2 linked regions of the Callithrix jacchus genome follow. The protein of the gene in region 2 interacts with the protein of the main gene of each other region in a pairwise test. Links are inferred from orthologs where the notes say so. Each region holds a gene or a part of one and is shown on either strand. Other genes may lie near its edges.

Region 1 (8,111 bases), on a different chromosome or scaffold from region 2:
GGCATTAACCATTATTAAACGAAGAAGAAAGTGAATGCAGAATGACAGGCAGTTGTATTCTAGACTAACGATGATGATAAAATTGACTGTGCAAAAATCTCAAGCTATGAGTTTTTGGATGAGGATTACTAGAAGGCTTTTTTCCCACCCAAGAATCAACAAGGAAAAGAAAAAAAACAAGCAAACAAGATATGTACTCTCACTGGGAGAGCCATTGGCAAGAAAGACTTCATCTTGCAATATTTTGCAGTAAGAGCCAGGATGATCCCATTTTCTAAAAGGAGGCATTACTGTTTTATCTCATCTTTTACCATTTTTATGCATGAAAATTTACTTGATTTGGTTGCAAATGGACAAAGGGTGAAGACAGGCATATATACAAGGTGACTGGAAGGAAAATGAAATAAAAATATTAATATTCACTGAATTTATCATTCTAATTAAGTTTATAATCTAAAAATAAAAATGTTTTGCAATTATGAAGCAAGGATGACAAATCCTTCTTCAACACAAAATTGTAGGCAATAGAAGGTTGCAAAAATTCTTCAAGTATTGTATTTTGATGATGCAAATGCAACCCAGGTTTGAACTTCAAGGGTCCCTTATAATTTGTTTTTTTTTTTTTTTCAACCAAATGCAGATCCATCTCAAGTATATAGAAGGCTGATTTTTCCTATTCTTGGGTTTGACAGGGCTGGCTGCAGGACTTGATGCAAGATTTGCCAAGGAGGTGGGTGGGTCCTAAAACTAATCTCCCACATTTAGTATACTGAACGATGACTGTATATACCACCAAAATCTAGGAAACATAGTTTATAAATTTGAATTTGTTATTGTTAAATTCACATTAAAATTCCTAATAAAGTTGTTTTGCATTATCCCCTTTTATTCTTATTTCTAAAAATTATTTGTAAAAGACTAAAAGAATATTAAAAAAACACTATTTCTCCTGGGCATATGCGAGTTAAAGCATTTGTACCTATCTGGACCCATTTGTGCTTCTAAATTCTCATTAGTGGAAGGGCTTATATGCTCTCATAATTTTGGCTTCCTAAGTTCCAAATCTCTACTTCTTTTCATGTGACCTTTGATATATTATTACAGGCCATTTAGTTCTTACCTATTGCTGGCTCAATATAGTTAAAGTAATAGCGAAGCTTCAGTTCTGACTCTGTAAGCCAGGATCTGACATTTAATTTTAACTTCTTATCTATAGAGAGGCCTCTTTTAAAGTGTCTTAAGACACTGAGGCACAGAGAGGCTAAGTGACTTGCTTCAATCCTCTGACCATCCTCTGTTTTTTCCACATCATATTCTCCATGATCAAATGAGATAGAATACTGAAAGTGGTCTATGAACTAACTACTGTTATAAAAATGTAGAGAATTAAGTTAAAAAAATTGTCTAAAAACCAACTTTCTTGATTCCGTTTCTATTAAAAGAGCAAAACATCTTCGGTGTTTATATAAATAACCCTGTCATCTACAACTTTTAATCCCAATGTTTTAAGAAAATAACATTAAGTCCTGCCAGTTCTTCTTTTCAAAGACCTTAAAGTAGCAGTCCCCAACCTTTTTGGCATCAGGAACTGGTTTTGTGGAAGACAATTTTTCACAGAGGAGATGGTTTTGGGATGATTTAAGTGCATCACATTTATTGGGCACTTTAATTCTATTATTAGTATATTGTAATAGATAATGAAATAATTATAAAACTCACCATAATGTAGACTCAGTGGAAGCCCTGAGCTTCTTTTCCTACAACTAGACAGTCCCATCTGGGGGTAATGGGAGATAGTGACAGATCATCAGGCATTAGATTCTCACCGGGAGTGTGCAACTAGATCACTTGCATATGCAGTTCACAACAGGGTTCACGCTCCTATGAGAAGCTAATGCTGACAGGAGGCAGAGTTCAGGAGGTAATGCAAGCCATGGGGAGCAGCTGTAAATACAGATGAAGCTTTGCTGGCTGGCCCATAGGTCACCTCCTGCTGTGTGGCCTGGTACTGTGGCCCAGGAGTTCGGGACTCCTGCCTTAAAGTACAACAGCGAGTACTTTGCCCAAATGCTGCATTCTGAAAAGCACATTAATGCCCTATACAATTTAAGAGAGGTTCCTTAGCACCTCTCCCAACCTCCCCACTCCTCCCACTCCCTATAAGATAGCTTTCATTTCTCCACTCCAAGCCAATGAAACTACTTTTAGGTTGTCTTCATCCTTAATACCTTTTACTACAGACCTGCAATTAATTTATCAATATATATCCTAGTGACTCTTAGAATTTACTGCTACATTGTCAGCATTTTTCTAGATTTGTATTCTGTGATTTAGTATCGACTTTTAATATTTAAAAAAAGTTTTGTTACCCCAATTAGATGTGAGGTCAATGGGCATAAGAAAACTTTAATGATCTCTTACATACTATGATACTCATTAGAAACTGTGGCCCAACTATATATTATAGCTAGCTTATTTTCTACAACAGCTTGGAGGTATTTTAATGAATGCATTACATATGGTTTAAAAAAAATTTTTTTTTTTTAAAGTACTGGCTAAGCGAGGTGGCTCACACCTGTAATCCCAGCACTTTGGGAGGCCGAATTAATTGCTTGAGTCTAGTAGTTGGAAAGCAGCCTGGGCAACGTGGCAAAACCCCGTCTCTACTAAAAACACAAAAAATTAGCCAGATGTAGTGGCTTGCAGCTGGGACACCACAGTAGCCCCAGCTACTGTGGTGGTGGCAGGGGGAGAGGGGGTTGAAGCAGGAGGACCCCTTGAGCCAGGGAGGTGGAGGCTGCAAGGAGCACTGATCATGCCACTGGCCTCCAGCCTGGGGAAAAGAGTGAGACCCTGTCTCAAAACAAAAACAAAACACAGGTACTTAAAGATAGGCTTATATGACCAGGAAAGGTCTTAAAGGTCATCTAGTTTAAAGTGACCTTTTCAGAACTGTAAACTTAATCTCTACCTTTCTGTTAAATTGCGTATCACCTGCGGTTTCCTGTCATGCTAAAATATTATTTCTGAGTGTAGCAAAACAGGTGCCTGACATCCTAGCAATCAAGTCACAGTTACAAATCAGGAGGAAAACAAGGTAACAGCTTTTCAAATGGCAGCCAGGTTACTCAAAAGCATGAATCAATTCCTGAGAAAACGTTAATTACCATATTAACAAGATCTAAAAGCCAGTAGCAGAAAGAACAAAGAGCACCGATAAATTTCTCTAGATGCCCATTCATACTCAAATCTTCCCTGATTAAAGTGAAGATTTAAAATTTTATGAAAAGCACTGAAATGCACTCCAGAAAAATTTAAAGCTTTATGTATTCAGAAATTAATAGCACTTTAAACAAAACTGAAAAAATCCTAGTTATTCCTTTATCATCCTTAACGATGACCTCACCGCGCCCTCTCCAACAATTTCTCCATCAAGGTTCCAAAGACACTTATCCATTGTATGAAGGACGTAGTTTTACGTTTACTGATTACCTGATGTTTCCATGACACTGCGCTAGGAGTTAGGCCAAATATACAAAAAGACTTAAAATAAACATCATATTTATCTCCGAATTCCCAACACCTGGCACTGCAGTAAATATTTAATGGGTTACTTTAAGGGATAAACCGTTTGCTATTAAAACCGGTAAGGTGGGGGCTGGGGAAGGGAACGGCGTTTGATGGGGAGGAGAGGTAAGGAGAACGAGGTATTAATATCTGACATCAAAATGGGCTTCTAGGTCTCAACGTCTTAGACCTCACCACCACATTCAGAACCAAATTACACCCGTGGCACAATTTTCGGCTCAATGTTGTTCTCGGTTTACCCTTACTAGTGCAGTTGACGTTAACTCTCAACGGCACACTGCAAAAATCATCCAGGCCGGAAAAATCTGTCCAAACGTGCACGAACATTTCGACACCGTCACAGGAATATTTAGAACCCAAAACAGGGAGAGTCTTGCCGTCTCTACCTGAGTACAAACGCCGGAGAAAGCATCCTCATCGGTCCCTCAAAACTCACGTATGAAATCCCTTGACTAAGCTCTTTCACTCCTCGACCCTCTCAGAATTTCCTTCCTCAAACCCCCTTCCTACTCAGGTCTCCGGCTCTCAGCGTGTGGGCCTCCTAAAAACCTTCCAACTCTTAAAGATTAAGGGAGACATTGCCCACTCATTCTGGTTTCTCCCGTGGCCTCTCCCGCTGCGGGCCACCTCAGGCGCGTTCTCCTCCATCCACCCTTTCCGGCCTACTCAAGCCTTTAGTAGGCCTCAACCCTCAGCCACTCCGCCATTGTTATTTACATCGTCGTCTGGGGAGGCTGAACGCTTCACCCCGTGCGGGTGAGACTCTCTGGCAGCACTCATGCTTGCGGGGATCCTGACGAGAAACGTGAAACCCTCTCGCCGCTCTCCTCAGCCGCAACACCAGCAGCCTGCAATCCGCAACCAGCCCAAGCAGTGCCACACCAGAACGCAGAGCCCCTCCAGGGCTTCTCTACCACAGTCGTCACCGTTGTGGCCGCTCGCCGCCCCGCGGTACTTTGGGAGCTGTAGTTTTCTGATTCACTGCATACTGGCCCGAATAAAAGATGTATGGGTGACAAAAACTACAATTCCCAGAAAGCCTAGAGGCTCAATTCGCGCTGTGTGGCGGGAGTGCCCTCGGAGGCCCCGCCTTCTTCGACTGAAGGAGGGAGCGTCCCCGCAGTTGGGGGTATGGCGGTGAGCGTTGGCTGAGAGCTTCGTGCCACAGAAGGAGGCTTATAGAGGTTTTTCTCCTTTCACCGTGCGACGCTGCCCTATTGGCAAATGCATCATCGTAGCTAAGCACCTGTGTTTAAATGTAATGCTTGAGGCTTACTGAATCCTCACGAATACCCTCCACCCAGGACAAAAACCTTAACAAAAAATGGCTTCTACCATTTCCATCATGGTGTTAGTTTTCTGTTGCCCGCAGGGGATTTCTAGGTGGCCGGTGATGCTGCTTTCTAAAGGTTCTGATGTATATTTCGCTATTTTCCCATACTCACAGAAATGAATTCAGTATGTTGTTAAATGTTGACTAATTGGCGGTTATTGAAAACGGGGTTTCAGCTGAGGGAAATCTGTACGTTTTCATACGGCTTTGTGTCAGGTGGGAGTGCTCCTCGCTGACCTTGGGTGTCTAGGCACCTTACTATAGGGGACTTCACCAAGCAAAATCCATCCCTGGCACAAAAACCTCTATGGTTTTTTTTTTTTTCCTTCTTTTTAAAAGTAATTGTTGAGGTGAAATTCACATATAAAAATAACCATCTTAAAGTGTACAATGCAGTGGCACTTAGTACATTCACAATCTTGTGCAGCTTTCACCTCTATCTGATTCCAAGACGTTTCATCACTCCAAAAGGAACCCGGTGCCCATTAGCAATCCCTCCTCATTTCTCGTCCTATTCCCAGCCTCTAGTAATCCACTCATCTACTCAGAAAGCCCTGCATTTAAAGGTGTTTATTGTTCAGATACTGGAGACTATTTCCTGTATTAAGGTGTCTGAATCTGTAACCAGATCTGAACCTTTCTGTCAGGATCCTTGTCCTTGCTAATTCTGAAGCTTTCTTACCTTAACCACACGTGATTTTTTTTTTTTTTTTAAAGCAAAAATCATTTAGGCCAGTTGTGGTGGCTCATGCTTGTAATCCCAGCATTTTGGGAGGCCAAGGTGGGTGGATCACGAGGTCAGGAGTTCGAAACCAGGGGGACCAACATGGTGAAACCCTGTCTCTACTAAAAATACAAAAGCCCAGCGTGGTGGCCTTCGCCTATAATCCCAGCTACTGAGGAGGCTGAGGCAGGAGAACCTCTTGAACCCAGGAAGTGGAGGTTGCAGTGAGCCGAGGTTATTAGATGATTATGCTGTGAAAAAAAAAAAAAATCTGTTTTACTTGACACTTAAAAAATTTCCTGGGGCCGAGATCGTGCCACCGCACTCCAGCCTGGGTGACAGAGCGAGACTCCGACAGAAAAAAAAAAAATCAATTAAGTAGTATGGATTATACATATCTAGTGTTTTGGAACTGAAAGCAGTCTGTGAAACAACGCTTAACTATTAGCTTTTAAACTCAGCAATTGTTCTAGTTTGACTGTCTGTGTACAAATACTGCTTTCCTAGATTTGAAATGATCCCTGAACCGCTGATAGAACTGTGACCAGTGGAAGGTAACTTTTTAATTTATGCAGTCATAGATACAAATTCTCCTTTATTTTGGAAGCAGAGAAATAGTGTAATAATAAGTAGTATAATAGAAAAAAAGATATCAGGGTCATCTTTTTTAAGTATAACCAAACAAAAAACATCTTTATCTATTAGTTTTGTGGTAAGCATAAATCATAAATAAAGGAGGAGGAGAGTAACCCAAGAGAAAAAAAAAAAAGCATTATTTTAGGAAGTGGTTGCTTGCTTTTTGCTAGAATTAAAATATTTTCAGTACTAACTCCATGATTCTACTTAGGTTCTATTAATTCCAATGAAAGTACATTTAAGTTACAGAGTTTTGCAGTTTCGACTACAGTTCACCTCTACTGGTTTTGACAAATGGTGATTTAGCTGTATTACCATAAACAAACAAGATGGCTGAATAGGTACTTTAGACTGCTAAAAGAATTCTGAAATAAGAAAGGACTATCAATAAGAATAGTAGTTACTATATAATTTTAATTTTACTAATTAGTGAAAGTCCAGAAAACTTTAATAAGCTAGCAATATGTCTTTTATTTTTTCACCAGAATTGTTGGCACCTGGATGGCTGTTCAAGTTACTGTAAAACAAGATCACTAACCAAAAAGTAACATAGGAAATACTAAAGACTGGAACATTTTATCAGATTTTAATCAGTGTCATATACAGAAGGCTCTAGGTAAGGATGAAATTATACAGTGTAATAGTATGCATGTATGCTACAGAAACTCAGTAATGCTCTTCTTGTGTTGTAATAACAAAGATACACTATCACGAGTAAAACAATGAAATACCTTCTTAAGGATTGGGACTGTTGCATCTCCATTTTTGTTTCTGGCACAATGCCTGTCACAGGGTAGTTAATAAATGTTCTGAATTAATATAGGAAGGATTAAATTATTTAGTATCAGAGTGGTATCATATATGAGGCTCAGAAACTCAGCAGTGTTGTTCTGTCTTGGGTAGTAAAGACAAGGAGAGGAGGCCCTATCACTAAGAACTTTTCATTTTGTTTTTAATCTTCCCAGCACTTAGCATGTAGTGGGCAGTCATAGATGTTTGTTGAGTACATTCTTTCAAACAGAGGTAGTCATAATTGAGCATAGTTAAACCTGAAGAGGAAATAAAAGCATTGACAATTATGCTGTGTACCAAAAACATCTGCTGTTTTACTTGGGACTTAAAAAAAATTCCTAGGGTCATAATTACAGTTACCATTTATTAAATACCCACCATGCACCATATACTTTGTTAGATGCTTTTTATAGGTGATTTTTAGAATTGACCTCAAAGTTTTACAATAATTTGCAAGAAGTAGGTAATTTTATAGGTAATTAACCTTAAGAAAATTTAAATACTTGCTTAAAGCAATGTAGCTAGTGAGTGATTCAGTCCTTAAGTCTATCTCATTCCAAAAGCCAATGCATTTTCCACTGTGCCAGTATAACCCAACTTTAAATAAGATGCTTCATATATGTCGGGAAGTGTGCCAAGTTTGAGGAAAACCAGAGTAAATAATGCGTAATCTTTTACTGCAAGGATTTTATAGCTTGGCAGGAGAATGATTAAATGGCATCAGTAAATTACAAATAAAATGCTGTGGGAATAGTTCATTTCAGCTAAGGGAAATGGGAAAATTATTCTTCAAAAGTTTTTGAGCTAGGCCTTGAAAAAGTGGGAGTAGGATATGGCATATATTCAGTAATGGTTAGTATCCAGTGTGCTGAAACCTGATAAGCCTGAAAGTATTGTATTCTGAGACAAAATCCTATAGGCTGATCAAAGCCAGGCTATGAAAAGCCTTGAGTTTGAGTCTCTCACTGCACATGTTCAGATTAAGTCATCTCTTTCATAGATTTGTGTGACCTATTTTCTAATACTTCCTCATTTAAA
Region 2 (7,521 bases):
CCCATTTTCTAGCTATTTATATCTCCCCTTTATCTACAGTATATTCCCCATCTGTACTTCCCTCTCTCTCTGCTGGGGTCACACAATGTTGAACGCAAGTGTCACTAATGGCTCTTATAGAAATCACCATTGCAACATGCTGAAATTTACTACATTCTTCTTTTCTCTTTTCTTTTTTTTCTTAATAGTTTTTCAGTTTTATCTTTAAAAAGTCTTAGTTATTATAAAACTTAAAACTGTTCTTAAAAGAAAAAAACAATACCAGCAAAATGAAACAAACAGAACAAAAGCAAAGAGAGGAAACAAACACCCTCAAGTCTGCCCAGGAGTATAAACTATTAGTACGATAGTGCTTCTTCTTCCATCATCCTCTCCCCATGTGCAGCCATCTCAATATTATATTGAGTTTTACTTGTTTACTTTTTACAAAAGTGGGATCGTGTCATAAATATGTCATGGATGATTGCTGGATTTCCAAGTGGATTTGTCTCCTTTCCTATTTGAAAATGTCCTCTGTATCTCTTTTTGCAAGATCACTGGCCCACAAATTATGAGGAACCAGGAACTTGACCATTACTGTGAGACAGAATTGGGGCAGGGGCCCGCTGAATAGTAGGTGTATTACATGTGTGATCTTTGGGCAGGACTGATTTCTTCACTCTACCTGCTCTTTTTGCTACCGCTACTGTGTGTCACCAGGGATAGGAGCATTAGATCCAGGATACATGATTTTTCAAGGTTAGAAGAGACTGTCTTGAGAGATCATGTTCAGTCTCCTCGGTAAAAATGTCAGTGCAGAGATATGTAGACCTGCCTTAAGTAGACTAGCGAGTTAGATGAGGCTTCAGTTGTATGCCTATCTCTACAAATTCTGAATCTAAGTGATTTTTCCACTGAGCATACAAGGTCAGGTAAATGATCTGTTGATGATTGAATTTCCCCTAGAGCTATGTGTTAATTATCTTTCTGATAATGTTTGGTCATTTTTGGTTAAGGCAGAGCCAATACCCTTCAACATTATCCACCCTTCCTCTGTGTGTGTGTGTGTGTGTGTGTGTGCGCGCGCGCGCGCGGTTTCATCACTTTCAGAATCTGTCCTATTAGCATAACCTCTCTAGAAACAGTTCCTTACCTCATGACAGAACAATGCTGATAAGAACGTGAAAGAAAATAAAAAGGAAAAATAGAGAAGCAACAGAAGAATAACGTTCTAGAGATGAGAAGGTGTCAAAGCACTTAAAATTTTTGTGTTGCCACTGCTCCTACAGGGAGTAGCTAAAATATTCCAAATAGTGAGTCTCTTTTAAATAATTCCTCTGAGAAGATGAAAAAAATGAACTCACAGGCCACATACTGATACATTCATCTCTTCTTCCAAGATGGTGATTATCTTTGGCACTGTTACTTGCACTTCAAACTTGGGAAGAACTGTTGATTGGTGATAAAGAAGGTTGGTGATTGTTTTTCAACTTTGAAGGAATTCATATTTTCAGGTTCCCTTTAACAGTTCCCTAATAATATTTTAGGGCTCTGAAAAGGCAGCTCTGCTCTCCAATATATTCTTATCCATCCTCCTCTGAAATGAAGATTTTAGCTGAGTGACTATGAGAGATTGCAAGATGCTTAATTCATTATGGAAAACTCCATTAAAATGAGGCTGTTTAAATTTCTGGGGGAGGTATTAAATATTACTATAGAAAATAACCAAGCTATGTGAAGTCCTATTTAAAAATCACTGATGTCCCTCATTGGACTTAGGTGTGATGAGTTTTACTCCAAGCCCAATGTCACCCATGGGAAATGGAAAGACTCCAAATGAGCTTAAATTCCAGGCCCTAGGAGTTTAAACATGAATGAAGAAACATGTTCCATGACTTTCCATGATCCATACCAAATTCCTCCACGGTGAAGGGATGCTCTCTCCTTCCACCGGATTCCTTCTGTACCACCACTTTGTAGGAGCCCTGGAAGGGCTCTGATGAGAGGGGAAAAGACAATTGCTTGAGGCCACCCTCTAACTCAAGACTCTGCCATTGTGCGATGCGATTTCCTTTGGGATCCTATGAATAAATGAATTATAATTTACAAAAGCACCTGGAGCATTAGACATAATAAAAGAAATCTATGGAAACTCTTGTTACCTACAAAAAGGACAAATGGGGTAGTGGTAAAGGGTGAGGAGAGGAGATGAGTCATAACCATCTAGCCCTATGTGAGTTGGAAGGCTTCTCCTTTAATGACAAGTTTCTGAGATGTCGTTAAAACCTCTCAGGTAAGAGCATTTCCCTATATGTGTTACTTTCCTTCTAATATGGAATGCTTCATGTTTCTTACCTGGATGTATACTAGTGGAATCTGAAACACAAAAGAAAGAAAGTTTATAATTATTTTCAAATTCTTAAATCTCATTTACAAGCACAACAGGTTGAGCATAGTCAGAAATAATTTAATCTTACATTTAAAAGTAACTAAAAGTATAATTGGATTGTTTGTAACATAAAGAATAAATGTTTGAGGGGATGAGTATCCCATTTATTGATACAGGCATGCAATGCATGATAATAATCATTATCCATGATTGGATAATGATTTAAATAATGACTGGATAATAATATGCATGCCTGTATCAAAATATCTTATGTAACCCATAAATATATACACCTACTATGTATCCACAAAAATTAAAAAAATTAAAAATTTAAAAAAACTAAAAAAGTTTTATATAGAATAACTCCCTCTATAGTGAAATACAGAAAGATTCCAGATTAAATTTTAGAGAACTCTTCATTAATCTATTTTAAGCACTTAATAAATAATGGTAAGAACTTACTAGGCCATCAGCAACAAATCTACATGTACAGTGCCATTTACTAGAAAGGGATTTATTAACATTTCTTAAGTGCTTATAGCATCTTAGTGAAGAACATTCTTTTGCTATGCAATTTTACAGGCTGAGAAATAAACACTTAGGTAACTATAAGTAAGTATGTTCAGATGTAATCATTAAGATGGGTCATAGAATTTGTAGGTAGTTCTAAGAATGAGGAGGAACAGAAATATTTCATTAATAAATGTTATTTTAATAAATAGCACTTTCAAAAAATGAATAAATATTGATAGAGAAGCTAGTATCAATGTTCATTCATTTTTAAAAACTAATGTTTATTAAGTACCTTCTCATGGGCTGTATATCATTCTAGATATTGAGAATATAACTAAGCACAAAAGAACAATATATCTGATTTAATGGAGCTTACATTACAATAGAATTGGGCAGATTTTAAAAAACTCATGTATAGGCTGGTGGTAAATGCCAATAGAAAAACAAAGGAGAGTTAGGCTGACAGTGATGGATGTGGTGCTTCATTTTAGATGGAGAAGTGAAAGTAGAAGCCGGGAGACCACTTTGAAGGCTATTGCAATGATCTTATTTAGAGATGACATTGGTAGGACTAGCTTGCAGCAGTAGTTCAGATGATAAGAAGTGGTCTGAATATTTTTTAACCCAACATGATTTTCCAGTGAAGTGGATATGGGTATGAGAGAAAGAGAAACAAGGACTATTCTATAATCTTTTGTCTTTGGATTTAGAAGAGCAGACTTGCCTCTTTTGGAGATAAGAAAATGTGAAGAAGTAGATTTGGGAGAAAAAAATGAAAACTTTGGGTTGATGTGTGCATTACAATAGAAAGAGTTGTTTCTTATCACACATACAAAGGAACAAATTACTTACCTTGACTTTTCTTTATAGCAAAGATTTTGGTAGGTATGTATAGAAAGAGTCTAAATACTTAAAATGCCTTTTGAACTTAGGTTCTTTGAGGGTTTATCTGCGTCTTTTATTTAATATATCTTTCTAATTATCCTAATTAAGAACTATCTGAAAAATAAATTTAATTGTGTGACAACTGATTACATTTAGTTTATCAGTGCTTTGTGCTGAGTAGCAGCACCAAGACAGGAAGAATTACCTGCTTACTCTACCTGGAATGATGTTTTGGATTAGGATCTTGCGTTGTTGTAATGCCAGAAGTTACTGTTAGTGATACCAGATTCTTCCTCTCCCTGGTCTTCCCCCAACACAGAAAACAGGTTCCCAGCCTGTTTATACAGCTAATCATTTTATGTAGATAATAGAAAACTCACCAACTCATTCAGGGGGTGAAAGGTTTCATCCAATGAGACAACACGAAATTTCACTGAAACAGAAATATTTTTCATGAGCTCCCAGACCCAAAGTAGGGCTATAGGTTGGTAAGATAAGCTATTTAAGGAATCAAGATTATAGGAACTTTGCCTGGGGACCACCCAATGGAAGAAGAACTTTCCTTTTTGAAGTTGTCCCAACTGTAGGCTTCTTCATACCTGTCTGCCCTGGTTTGTAGATCGATTTGTCTGTCTGGACAAAGACCAGACTCTCGTCATTCTTAACTATGACTGAGGTCCGCTTCTTGAATTCTTGTGTTGGTCCTTTCACTTGGACAGTGAGGAACATTACTTCCTCACTGGATGAAATCTTTGGGACCTGAAATATAGGACAGATCCTGAAACCCCATTCAGCACCCGCAGGTCTCCTCCCCTGTTTCCTGTTCTACTCTTCCTTGGAGACCTTGCCCTTGTTACTTCACTTCACTCCCTTGTTCTCAGCAGGGAAAGTTGGCATGGACAAGAATCACTTCTACCATTTTACAAACGGGGAGACTGGACACAAGGTGGAGAAACATACATTAGTAAGAGAGGTTGTAAGTGAGATTCATATCTTCATATAGCTCAGAAAAAAACGCCTTGATTCAACTATACATGGCAGTGAGCTTTACCAGGTTGATATTACATGCTAAAAGGGCATGGTCGAAGCATGTTTTATGGGTATTAAAAAACCCTATATTTAGGGCCGGGCGCGGTGGCTCATGCCTGTAATCCCAGCACTTTGGGAGGCCGAGGCGGGTGGATCACGAGGTCAAAAGATCGAGACCATCCTGGTTTAGTGAAACCCCGTCTCTACTAAAAATACAAAAAATTAGCTGAGCACGGTGGCGCGTGCCTGTAGTCCCAGCTACTTGGGAGGCTGAGGCAGGAGAATTGCCTGAACCCAGGAGGCAGAGGTTGCGGTGAGCCGAGATCGCGCCATTGCACTCCAGCCTGGGTAACGAGAGCGAAACTCCGTCTCAAAAAAAAAAAAAAAAAAACCCTATATTTTACTGACACTAGGCTGTAAGCATCTCACATGTGGGCAACTCTGAAGAGATACTACACCTTCGCTCAGGGTAATTTCTACAGTTTTTGCTCTTAGGAGTAGTGTGGAATGACGTGTTCCTGTGAGTCCACCACTGGTGGCTCATGTTGAGCCCTGGCCTCATATGCTTTATTAATATATTTTCTATCTTAATTTTAAGAAGTCACACTGTCTTTTTTTTCTTTCTGGCTGATAGGGTTCCTATTTAATTATTAAGCTGACTTTTAGTGTGCCTGTAAAAAATATTTGTCTCCAGTGGCTGGAGAGTCACGCATTGCTCCTCAATTTCTATACTTAGTTTGCTACACTTGGATTCCTTCTGGAAGTTCTTACCAGCCTCCCAAACCCTCATCTTGACATAATACAAAATCCCAATGACCCTGACTAAAAGAACCAAGTATAGGAAGTCAAACAGCCACACTCACAGAGAAGGCAACGCAGTGGAGCACGTCCGTCTCTGCCACCAGGTCAGTGAAGAGGCTGCTGTTTCCCCTGATAGACTCCAAGGAAGCGCTTACAGTCACTGTCTCCTTCAGGTAGCTCATAAGGATACAGCATTTCTCAGCGGTCTCAGTGTGGAGGAGGGAGGGAACCAGAACCATATACTGCCTGGGAATGAGATGGTTCAGTTAGCGGAAAGTAAAGGAAGGCAGGCACTGCTATTAACAGCACTATTTTCCATCATAGTAATTATCATCATCTGTTCTACACCAAGAGAAGACATACTGAGGAGCATGAAATTTGGCTGTTGAAGGCCATGCATAAGAATTATTCCCCCTTTCCCTCACATGCCATGGCAGTGAACATTTTACTTGAGGTAGGACTTAAACAGATTAAAACTTGTAGGCATACCTCTCTTTAAGAAACAATTTGTGAATATCCGAATTCAAATAAAAATATGTAGTTACATTTGCGGATGCTGTAAATCTATTTTATCTTCAAATTGCTGTAAAACGTAAGCTCTCAGTCATGCAGACATTACAAAAACTATACACACACATACATATACACATTCAGCAGCCCTATGAAAATTGTATGCTAATACTTGCTTCCACTCCAAAGATATGGAATCTGAGCCTCAAAGGGAGCCATCACTTTAAAGTCTCAGTTGTGGTAAGCAACTAATAAAGTTTTAGAGCATTACCTAATCATGGATGTTTGCGTTTTAGATATTTGCCTTTCAGCTCATGATTAGACAATGGCTTCATCCAGAAATGTCCTCTAGTGATGGACTTTAGATCTTGGTAACTCATGTGCAGTACAGAAACTTGCTCAGTACCCTGATATATAATTTATGATCAATTTGTAGTTTTTATACATTTTTGCTCACAGAATGTCTAAAATAATTTTTGGACACTGTGCACTCCTTACATATTTTCAAGTAAACATATTTTTTATTATGATTTTAAAGAACAGCAAAAGATATTATTTTTGATGATATTTAAAATTAATGCTTAGATTACTTTTATAATTTTCTAATGAAATAATAAACACTATAGTGATAAGATACTTACTATTGCTATGTAAAAATACATTAAAAAGTTATTTTAATGGTCGCCTATTTAACAGCTTTCTGTTTTTACCTCCTTGAATTTGAATTTCCATACCAATTGCCATACAGAAATTTTTCTTAAACTTTTACACTTCAAAATATTTTGTGAATCATTCTTACTTCATTATCAAGCACCTATACATAAATGTATGTATACATATATTTGCATATATACATAATATATATGTATACATAAATACATATGTATATATAAACATACGTGGATAGATAAATTTAACTTTAACTCCTCTTTTAAATAGAATGTGACCATACATTCATAAATATTAAACATTTTCTTCTAATTGAACTATTTTCAAAAATAATTGTATGTAACTGATCAAAACAAAATGCATTACGAAGTATGATTCATACATATTAGATATAAAATTAAAATACTTTTGAAGCACATCTTTAATGAGAATGATAAGCTGTTTTTCCTCCAGTGAATTTATGTACCCATGGATGCATAGTCCTTATTGCAATAATTAAACAAGATCTAACATTAATTCTGTTACTGTTCTTGTTTTGTGTAGATATAAGTGCTAAGAAGAATGGTTCACATACTAGTAGGTAAATGGCAGGTAAAACCATTGTTTCGCTGTTACCGTCTGGCAACTTGTGCATTACATGCTAAAAGTCACCTAGTACTCTATTATCAAGAATTGCTTCTCATCATTCATCAGCTGGTATTTCCTTTAGTTCTTCCGTCAGTTTTGTTGAAACAAAGAATTCATCA

Evidence for each region. The genes of interacting proteins can lie anywhere in the genome.
Region 1: the proteins of A2M (region 2) and C10H11orf58 interact in a two-hybrid assay, tested with the Homo sapiens proteins (2 studies listed by BioGRID and IntAct). The link is inferred for Callithrix jacchus from reciprocal best matches to the Homo sapiens genes A2M and C11orf58.

The regions. Positions count from the first base shown.
Region 1 is NC_133511.1:82,760,116-82,768,226, reverse strand, and holds the start of C10H11orf58 (small acidic protein), read right to left. Parts: upstream 4,369-8,111; coding exon 4,306-4,368; intron 1-4,305. Other genes in the region: uncharacterized protein LOC144578134, read left to right, coding at 4,367-4,725, 6,767-6,818.
Region 2 is NC_133510.1:23,785,667-23,793,187, forward strand, and holds part of A2M (alpha-2-macroglobulin), read right to left. Parts: intron 5,843-7,521; coding exon 5,659-5,842; intron 4,526-5,658; coding exon 4,366-4,525; intron 4,200-4,365; coding exon 4,147-4,199; intron 2,356-4,146; coding exon 2,335-2,355; intron 2,061-2,334; coding exon 1,892-2,060; intron 1,429-1,891; coding exon 1,344-1,428; intron 1-1,343. UniProt on the Homo sapiens protein: Is able to inhibit all four classes of proteinases by a unique 'trapping' mechanism. This protein has a peptide stretch, called the 'bait region' which contains specific cleavage sites for different proteinases.